Linked DNA regions of Schizosaccharomyces pombe. The protein of the gene in region 2 interacts with the protein of the main gene of each other region in a biochemical or structural test. Each region holds a gene or a part of one and is shown on either strand. Other genes may lie near its edges.

Region 1 (3,949 bases), 300 kb from region 2:
TAGCTGTAATTTAAGAGAGAACCAACCTGGATCTTTATCATTGTTTTTACAAATCGATGCCTTGGAGTTGTTATTACGGAAAACAGCATTGAAACTTAAACTGACAGATGCAGTATATCAGCAAGAAATGTTGAACGTGGTGCAACGTTGTGTTTCTCATTTTCTAGCCATTAACGAATCCCATTTTACTGATTTTTTCTGGCCGTATTCCCAATTCTATTTTTGTATCCTATCATCTGCAATCATTAAGATGTATCTGGACTTTGAGTTTAATGAAAATTTTAATGCTACGACTTTTGGCCTTTTGTCATCTTTCACAAAGCATTGTGTCTGGCTGAAGTTTCGAAATTTTGATTTGGTTTTCATGGCTTATAAGCGATTAAACGCGTTGCTGATTGAATTAAGCTCAGGTAGACCACTTATTGGCAAACTTCTACAAGAAACCTTTGAACATCGAAAGCGTAACTTGGACGAAACCCTGACATAATGATAGTGTTTAGACCTTTCTAATTCTTTTTTTTTTGTTTGGTTTTAAGAGTTGTTAATTGAATACTTATGAGCCTATACCTACCTAATTAAGGATATCTACACATTATTATTTTTTTAGTCAGCTCTAGTTGCTTATATTTTATAAAGTAGTTTAGGATCCTTGTTAATTTGATTAAAGGGCTTCATTAAAAACATCTGATAGAAAAGTTTAAGTGAGTTAGGAATATTCACGAAGGATGGAAAGATAATATTGAAGTGATAACATCCTATCGTTTTATAATGAGATATTGATTGCAACAATAAGGTTTATCAGATCTGAACATATATTTATTTATATTTTAAAGTTTACCAGGTGGAAGCAAAAAAGATCTCCTGAGCCAGAATCGAACTAGCGACCAACCGGTATCATCGAAATTACAGCCGGGTGTGATAACCAACTACACCATCAGGAGTTAGTTGAGAAGTGGTGTCTAATAGAATATATATAATATATGAAAAATTAAATATCTTGTATCTTAAATTAGCCGGAGTAGATTCAAATAATGATGATAATTAGATCCGTACAAGTTTATTAAAAAGATGAATGAAAGTAATAGTAGGCTTGAATTCCATTTTTTAAGAACAAATATGAAAACTCTTGATGTGGATACTAGAAGTCTAAGCAATACAGGTATATAACAATAATCCATATTCTTAAAATGATCATCAGAAAACGCTTATTCTTACATATTTTTACTTCATTACAATTATTTACCAGTTTTTTTCATCTTTTCATACTCTATAGTTTCTTATCAAATATTCCGTATAAATTATTAGAGTTGACTTGTACCAAGATCATCTGTTCAATTGCTTTGTGCATATATTTTACTTATGTTGTTTATTTTTCTTTCAGAGGAAGAAGCCTTTTGGCTGTGTCGAATGCGTAGATATGTTATACAAACGGTTATAATCCGGGATATGAGAACTAAATGTTTGGTCACTATAGGACAGTTTTTCGTTATAAAAGAAATAAATTTAAGTGCTTAAAGTACTAATTTTATTAATTCATTGCTTTATTTAGGTCATATTGCAATCATTGATAAACTCAAAGCAAAGGTTAACATAGGTTCTCAAAATTTTGAAAACCCACTGTTAAATTCATCAATTGCAATACCATTTGGAGAAGTAATGATTAAACAGTTTCTTAGTATATGCTTTGTTTATTCGTAACTGACGAACATTTCCGTCCCCCACGCCCCCCACTTATATATAGAGATCCATTCAGCGGACCGAAGAACTAACATACTTACCAAATACATAATACACTATAGTCACGAGAATGTCAACTGAAGGAGCTAAGCCATGTAAGAGCGCTGCTTGATTTATTGGCTGTATCAAGTTGCTAACGATTTTTTAGCGGAAATGTTAATTGCGGCTTGCCGCTCGAATAATGTTGACATGCTTGAGGAAGTTGTTCACCAACAGGAAGGAGACGGAGTGAGCTTCATCAATAATGCTCGTGATTCACTTGGAAACGATTGTGTTCATGTCTGTACAAAATATGGTTCCCTAGAGTGCCTTGACTGGCTTTTAGATATATCTGGCGTAAATTTGAATAACCGCTGTCGTATGACAGGGGACACACCTTTACACTTTGCCGTTATGTTTATAAAAAAAGATCAGGAAACTGCTTTACGTATGGGTAAGTGAATTTACAAGCCGAAGTGCTAATCATTGCTTTCGTGTTCTTTGTTATTTTCGGAAGTTATGGTCAAAGTCGAGTTGTGTATTTCTACGTTGTTTTACGAATGATTCAACGTATGCAAGATCGCTTATATTATGTAAAATTCAAACAATTCTTTGATATTACTTTCTCATAATTTTGTACTTTGCTTCCGCTTATTTCACAAACATCGATTTTGCTTCGGGATAGTTTATAGTGTTTGCTTTGTTGAGTGTATTTGTCTAACTATTGTTTCATTATAGTGGAGATGCTTATGGAGGTTGGTGCCGATCCGCTTCTTACCAACAACGATGGTTTTCGACCAATTGACCTTGTTCCAGGAGACTTTCACGATGTCTTTGCTTCTGCATTAGAAGGACCTGCGCCTGCTCTTCAATATTCTGCAGATGTCGTTGCTGACGATGACGATGAAGAAGAAGGATCCGGTGAGTCGGATGAAGAATAGTTCCCCTTTAGATATTCTTGATTCGGCTTCCCTGTTGTTCTTCTTCTGTTTGGATTTTGAGAAATACACGTTTTGTAAGAGATGTGGGTTATATTAACGATAAAATATTTGTCATTCTTGGGGATTATTCGATTTCTTTCTCCTTAATTGCGAAAGTTGTAAGTTATGATTTTGGCTGCTTCTCAGTGTATTGAAATTCCATTGGACGCTTTAGCTTTCCTTTCAGCTGCAATCCAGTATTATGTTTGTTGTTTGTTCATTCTTTCATAGACGCTCCAGAGAACGATGTGTTCTACTCCTTAGATACCTAAATGCGGCTTTAAAATTTCACTGCGCAACTTTTGACAACGTCACAGGCCGTAGGCTGTATGTTAACTTTTAGCCCTTTATAACCTCATCCAATGAATATGCTATAGTTTTTTTAAAACGTTAGCATATTCATTCCGATTATGCTGCTTTTCTCGATACTTTATTGAAAAAAATCGAAATCGTTGTTACAAGTAACACTTTCTTTTGGGTGTCGATAAACAAGTCTGTATTAGAAAATTTGGCATTAATTAGGATTTGGAATTTTTTATGGATTTCTGTAATACCTTAATTGCTTGCAGATTTGTGTCGTATTCTAAAGATTACTTTTTCTTGTTTCTTCTGATATGCTGCTAATGTTAATATTTTCAATTTTCTTTTATTTTTTAGAGAAGCAATATAAAATTTATACACGTTTAAATAATTTCGAGTATCTTATATGAAAGTTTTGTGGGGTACTTTTAACAATCGCTCATATTAGAGGAAAGGAACCATGACGGTTCATCAAAAAGTACTGCATTTATTAAAAAATATTCAATAGGTTTCTGCTTTCTATTAGTAAATCCGCTACACTTATAAAATTGGTACCCGAGTTCGCCGTCCCTAAGACGGTGTTTGTCAGTTTTTAAATTTGAAGGTTCCGTTTGTGTCTCACAACTTACATTACCTAAAATAAATTAAACTCATAGCATGTTAATAAGTCTCAATTTTTTATTCGCTAAAAACACGAGGGTATATTGCTGTAAAAACTTACCACTAAGCAACTAGCACCTCGCCATTACTATATGCAATGTGTGTTAGGGTTCATAAAAAATTGCAAACTTAAGTCGATTGAAGTTATCTTAACTCGCATATAATCGAATATAGCAGTAGGTGCATCAATGACTATATTTCAAATATCAATCGGTTTGTTCATATAACAACTAATCCGCTGTTAGGCATGTCAACGCAAAGCATATTTGACGGCGATAATGTCGTTGTCTACA
Region 2 (3,682 bases):
CTTAGTCGTAATGAACCCAAATCATCATAAGTGATATCTTCTGGTAATAATTCGTGAAGCGTTTCTACAAATTTAAATTCATTATTCCCAATATTTTTGATAATTAGAGAATTATCATTTCCATTCGACATAGAGCTATAATTAATTTAGTTATGGTAATTGCTAACCCTTGATTCCAAAGTGTTATGTAATACAGCGCAGTATAGAACTCGAAGCTTTTTTTTTGGCAATTTTAAAGAAGAAAATTTCGTATAGTTAGGTACAAGTTTTCGACGGCGAAGGGATATACGAAACCATATAGCGGGTGGTTGATGGTGAGAGGAAGTTAGGTTGGCTTGAATAGCAAGTAGGAGGACATTGAGGTTTAGAACTGATAACTTTGTAAAAACTTTTTGAATATATATGTACCATGATGTTGAATTTTAGATAAGTTTTAACTTCACTAACTTGAACTTTACCGGCGCAGAGCCTTCCTTCTTAGGAAATGTCCATATTCCAATGATGAATTTCTGTTTACGATCGGAATAACTACGTGAAATGCAAAAAGAAAATAAACGATGTCATTTATGAATTTATGTTTAGTTAATACGTATAGCTTAGCTTCGACAAGTGCCGCACAAAATTTCATACTGAGAGATGTATTTGTATAAAGTAATGTATTAAGTACAAAACAAAGCGTATATCTACCAGAGTGAGAAAACGGCTTCAAGAAGTGCATATAACTAGAAAAATGCTAAAAATTTTAACATCGACTAGTATAATGAACAGTAAATCTTGAAGGAAAAAAGAAAAGGAAGATTGAGCTAAATAATGGGCATGGGAATTGCAAGGACATAAATGCAACGTATACAGCGAGTACTAGGCACATACTAGTACGAGCAAATGCATCATATAACAGACAGATGAAGCTTCTAATAATTCATTGTAGGATGCAATAATGCAAAAGTGCGTGGTATTCTCATAGCAATAACGTATATGTTCCCAGACTTAAGGATTCCTTTATGTGTTGAAACAAAGGAAGCGTTAAAATTCATAGGATCGATCATGAGATGAATGGTAACAACAAATGCTACCATAGTTACTTTTGTGACACACCTAGGCCAGCAAAATAAACAACCAAAACGTTGTAATACACTAACTAATGTTTTTCAAAATCATAGACGAAAAAAAAAGTAAAGGACAATAGCCGAGGTTAAGTTGGTAAAGAGATTGTCCAAATTGCGATGGAGAGTGGTTATAAAGAAGAACTAAAAGGGTGGAAACCCCAGCAAGGATATTTTGATTTTTTTAAGGCTTACAAATATTCCACAGAAATTCCAACCCTTCTACTTGGAAGAAATGACACGAGAGAATTCTTCGTAGTTGATTACACCATCGCCATCGGTGTCGGCTTCACGTATCATATCGGCTACTTCTTCTTGAGACAAACGTTCACCAAGACTTGTAAGCACATGAGTCAACTCCTCGACTGTAATGTATCCATTTCCATCTTTATCGAAGACTTTAAAGGCTTCGCGAACTTCCTCTTCGTTGTCGGTATCCTTCATTTTTCGGGCCATCATAGTCAAAAATTCGGTAAAATCAATTGTGCCATTACCATCGGCATCGACCTCATTAATCATATCTTGTAATTCGGCGGCAGTAGGCGATTGACCTAACGATCTCATAACTACACCCAATTCATTGGACGTGATATTTCCATCCTGATCACGATCAAACAGTGAAAAGGCTTCACGGAATTCTGCAATCTGCTCATCTGTAAGGTTACGGGTAGTCTGTAATAATGTACGATACGGTAGACGACTTCAGAAATCATTTTCTGAGTGTCATCCGTTCATACGATTGTTAGTCAATCTTCAAAGGAAAAATCGGAATATGTCCAAACAATATAATAAACATACCATTTTCTGGTAAAAATCAGTAACTCTAAAGTCCTTCTATTCCTTTTTTTAACCTTTATTTTTGGCGGTTAGTGTTTTGCTCTAGTTACGTTAAAGTGCCTTGGAGAAATGAGGACTACCGTTGTCGCTTCCTAATGTTGCAAGTCCTACCATCAACAGTGATGTCAACAAACAATGAGAGTTTATTACATTATCGTATATGCTCTAACAAACCAGTAACGTACTTGCTATAAACCGCACTAAAACCACTAAACGGCGGATGAAGGAACTTTTTCAATGTCAGCTACGCATTTATTGGTATCTATTTAACGACACCTAGAACTGCCGTGTGGTTTACTTGTGACCTATTGTATTATGGTACACAGGTAAATACATTTAGTAACTTAGAATGATATTCTGATATAGAGGTTATATTGTTACCTATCACCGAATTAGCATAAAAGTGAATAGAGAAACGAGGTTTTGTTTATTTCAATTCATAAAATTTAAGCATTCTATTATTTTTTTTGTTATTCATTTTATAACTCTTAGTAATCTACCTAAGTAACTTATCATGTACAGCTTGACAGAGCAAATCAAACATGTGATAATTAGTGATACACAACGTAGTATGCTATAGCGCAACGGAACGTTGTCGACATTCAACTTATATATCGTACTCGATGTTTAAATCGCAAAAGGATTTAACAAAAAATATTTGTAAATGCAGTATTTGGAAATGGTTATTACAGCGCAATTTTTTGCTGAATGTAAACAGAAAATCGTGTTTTTCACTTTCCTCTATGAGGTTGAGTTAGTGATATTATTATTCATGATATGAAAATATTGTTTTCATTTTGATTTATGGAAAATTAATTATTGAGCAGATTTACAAACACTGTCACGGTTTAAAGTCTCCAAATAATTGAGCAAAATGACATAGCTTTGAAAAATTTGCTAAACAAAAGCATTTTTGATAAGTGCAGTTCATTAAAAGGTTTTTTTGCACGTTTATTATGAATTGCATTTTTGTTGTGTAGCATAATCTGCTTTTGTATTTTTTGTATATGCCAATTTTGATCTGATAATTTTTCTAGTTGAACACTCAAATGAAGAAGGAAAACTGAAAAAGTAAATAACAATATATTATTCAAGCAGGATTTCATTGCCTGTATATATTTCGATATTAATTCTTTTCTAAATGATTTATTCAATGTATAAAAATCCAGAACCTCAACATCTGATACAATGACCGTAGCCGAATTTATTGATTTTAGTCTGAACGGATATTTTAATCGAATAAACAATATTTGTTGTTATTGATGTAACACAAAAAAAAATAAAAAAATAAATTCAAATTGAGCATTTTTTTGTCTTTAATAATCATAAATTTAGACGTCTTTTGTTTTTAAAGATTTTATAGTTTATTCTCATAATTTTAAATTTTTGCACTTCCTGTTTAAAGACATCTCTACAGAATGACCATGAAAATTTGAGTATAATTCCTTAAAAGATTCAAATTTATAAATCTCAATTGATTTAATAAAATGCTGTGAAATGGGAAGTTTAACTTTTAATAATTCGAGGTACTCATATCCTTCATAGAAAAAAAATAAAAAAATAAAAATAAAAATAAACATATAAAAAATAAAATAATAAGAATGATCGAGAATTTAAAGTATTTATTGTTGAACTCTATCAGTACGTGTGTTTGAATATTTTCCTACTCAATTCATCTCGTAATTTTGTTGTGCAACTACAATAAATTCCTTATTGAACCACATACCTTTTTAGTAGACTGT
Region 3 (3,131 bases), on a different chromosome or scaffold from region 2:
CAAAACTAAAAAAAAAAAATAAGATGAAAAGCAAAAAGACTAAAATAATAGGGAATTAAAAAGTTCAGATTATTTCGCACATTTACTATCTCACATCCACCACCATTCAGTAAGTAGTTTCTCAAATAACGATGCAGTCTTTTTCGGTATTTAACAGAAACCTGAAATAAAGATTCCAGAGACATATGATACATGAAATGTTATAAATAAAATGAATTGTATGAAGATAGACACTTTAGAGAATGCGAGAATATTTTGCACAAGTAGCCTATGCAAAGGCGATATGCCACACTTTTCAAAAGTAGTTAAAAGAATGCAGTGTCATAAGAAAAAAGTGGAGGAGTAGAAAGAGTAATTTTAGCAACTATTCTTTATGGTAATCACTCAAGTGAATGATTGAAATGAAAAGAAGAAATTTTCCATAAAAAATTGTGCTAAGGTCTGGATAAAATGGTAATGGTAGGGATAAAATAAAACATTAAATTGGTAAGTTTGGGAACCGAGTTTACCTCCCATTTCCTGTTCCTGAATAACTACAAAACTGTTCTTAAACCATGCTATCTACCAAGTCTTGCATTGGTGCATATTCCTTGTTATCCATAAGGCTGAAATTTGTTGTTAACATCTTTAAGTAAGTAAATTGAAACACATACCCAAATTCCCTACAGAAAAATACAAAGTGTTTAAATGATGTATTCAGATAGCTTTCAAGCTCCATTGCTACCATTACGTGAAAGTGGGAACAGTAAATATGAGCATAAATGCGAAACAACCTTCGAAATATTTGCTGAATCACTTTGCGAAAATTCTTTGGGAATTCAACACCAATCTCAGTGGGGAAGAGCTTCTTGTCATCCAACTTTTCTTGAGTCCAATCCAACAGATTGTTAATATAGTCGGGAGCACTCATGCGAGTGGGTTTGGTGTATATTTTATCATCCTGCCAGTAATATTCATAACTTGGTCCAGCATTCATTTGAGGACAGGAAGCCGCCGTACAAAATTCAGTGATTGTACCATACAACATATTAATTTGTGTATAAAAATCCATTGCTAGAAGTATTCAATTAATAAAAGTTCTTGAAGTGTCAATTTTATATCTTAGCTTACTGTTCATAGCAATCCATTCATTCAAATCTTCTCCCTTGGGCAGTTTTACTGCTTCCATCAAAGAGCCAGATCCCAGCGTTGCTTCAGCATATTGCCGTAGTTGATAATGCTTCGTTCCCGCTTCAGTCTTCCTTACACGGAATGTCTTCGCTGTCTTATTACTAAATCCAAACATGAAAGAAAATGCAAAAAAGTTGGTATGAGTTGGGTTCTGGTAGGCTTGGTTTGTGCCAACCTTCCACTCATCGTCCCTTCCTCGTAAACAAACGTGGTCATTCTACCGTTCAACTTTCAAGACCATCCAGCCAACCAATATTAAGCGCAAATTAATTACTGGAATACCTATCATATTCATACGACCGTATGTTTAGGTCCGAGCACTTTTACAAATTGACAACGTACGATCGCTACTTCTTTACCCACTGCCTATAACCACTGACATTCCCTGAATTACACTTTGGTGCTAAACGTGCGGCTAAGAAATTAAAAAGAAAGCAGAGAGCTTTTAATTTTCTTTTTGGGATTTTTTTTGCTCAAATTGGTGTCTATTTAGTGTTCGTGTACGACTTTTACTGTGCGGTGAGAAACGCGAAAGGGCATCACTAAAACCGACTTTGCTAACTTTCTCTGGATTCTATTTAACAGTCTTTTATTTCTTGAGATTTGATTTAGGTTCCTTTAATTCATTTAGGTTTGACAACATGACATGCAGAATTGCGATTCGCAAGTATTCATTCATATTATGTTTGGCTGTTGGTTCAGTTACCATTTATACCTCGGAAGTTATTGGAACTCCTCTGTATTTTGTCAACAAGGAGCTTTATAACAAATATATTGCTTTTACAAAATCATTCGCCGGTATTCTGTTTACCGCTTTGGTCCAGCTTTTTAGTCCGACTCCTGTAACTCTCACCTATGATCCCGAGCTTCGAAATTTGTTTTATTTGGATAGAAATGGTTGCTTGGAAACAATTGCTGCTGAACGCAACATAGTTATCGCAAACCATCAACTTTACTCGGACTGGATGTACGTTTGGTGGTTATCGTACACTGCTAAACAGCATGGTCATGTTTATATTATGTTAAAAAACTCTCTCAAATGGTTGCCAGTTATAGGTTGGGGTATGCAATTGTTTAGATTCATTTTCCTTTCTCGCAAATGGGACAAAGACTACGAGACTATGTCTCGTCATTTCAAGTTCATTCGCAATGTACGTGATTCCGTCAGTCTCATTCTCTTCCCAGAAGGAACCAACTTGGTTGAAAGCACATATCAAAGGAGCAGGGTGTATGCCGATAAAATTGGAGTCAAAATGCCAAAGCATTTAATGCTCCCACGTGTGCGAGGGCTCTTTTATAGTATCAGTCAGCTTCGTGATTCGATGACTTATTTGTACGATTACACATTTTATTTTTCTGATCCCTCTCCTAAGAAATATGCCGCCGATGCTTTCTCTTTACCTAAGCTCTTTTTTGAAGGAGTCCCCATCAAAAGGCTTCATATTCACGTTCGTCGCTTCCCAATTTCGGAAATTCCCACTGAAGAAGATCAGTTTACGGATTGGCTTTATCAAAGATGGTATGAGAAAGATAAACTTATCGATACGCTTCTTGAAACAGGGAATTTTCCGGGCCCTAAGAAATTGCATACGACTGTTCGATTGAAGCACAGACTTGAAATTCTTTCTTTGTTTTCCGTACTTTTCACGTGCATTGTTGCTGGGTTGTTCCTCAAACTATTCATTTCTCACTAGAAAAAACTGTTATTTATACCCATTTCTTTCCATTTCCCTAAACCATATGGTTGAAAAGTTACCCATTTACACTACATAGATTAACTGATTTTCATGAACATTTTTTAACAGATTGCAAACTGGATTTTCAGTGTTAAGGAATTACCGCATACATTGCGGACGATAGTTTTATAGTCATTAGCTTTCTCTTGAGCTTTGAGATTTCGAGATAAATTATTCTGTACACTTTTTCTCCTTACAACCATCCTCTTTGCCTGTAGACGGCCT

What was found.
Region 1: the proteins of cam1 (region 2) and ank1 form a complex in vitro, tested with the Schizosaccharomyces pombe proteins (one study listed by BioGRID).
Region 3: the proteins of cam1 (region 2) and mob1 form a complex in vitro, tested with the Schizosaccharomyces pombe proteins (one study listed by BioGRID).

What each region holds. Positions count from the first base shown.
Region 1 is NC_003424.3:1,743,456-1,747,404, reverse strand, and holds ank1 (ankyrin repeat-containing protein), read left to right. Parts: upstream 1-1,767; 5' UTR 1,768-1,807; coding exon 1,808-1,832; intron 1,833-1,885; coding exon 1,886-2,170; intron 2,171-2,386; exon of another isoform or gene 2,387-2,454; coding exon 2,455-2,657; 3' UTR 2,658-3,386; downstream 3,387-3,949. Other genes in the region: dal81 (transcription factor), read left to right, coding at 1-487; potassium ion/proton antiporter Kha1, read left to right, coding at 3,904-3,949.
Region 2 is NC_003424.3:1,443,152-1,446,833, reverse strand, and holds cam1 (calmodulin Cam1), read right to left. Parts: upstream 1,985-3,682; 5' UTR 1,905-1,984; coding exon 1,902-1,904; intron 1,776-1,901; coding exon 1,326-1,775; 3' UTR 501-1,325; downstream 1-500. Other genes in the region: GARP complex subunit Vps53, read right to left, coding at 1-131. UniProt on the Schizosaccharomyces pombe protein: Calmodulin mediates the control of a large number of enzymes, ion channels and other proteins by Ca(2+). Among the enzymes to be stimulated by the calmodulin-Ca(2+) complex are a number of protein kinases and phosphatases.
Region 3 is NC_003423.3:468,841-471,971, forward strand, and holds mob1 (Sid2-Mob1 kinase complex regulatory subunit Mob1), read right to left. Parts: upstream 1,324-3,131; 5' UTR 1,286-1,323; coding exon 1,111-1,285; intron 1,054-1,110; coding exon 654-1,053; intron 606-653; coding exon 548-605; downstream 1-547. Other genes in the region: mlg1 (1-acylglycerol-3-phosphate acyltransferase), read left to right, coding at 1,812-2,864. UniProt on the Schizosaccharomyces pombe protein: Has a role in promoting the onset of septum formation during the latter stages of mitosis.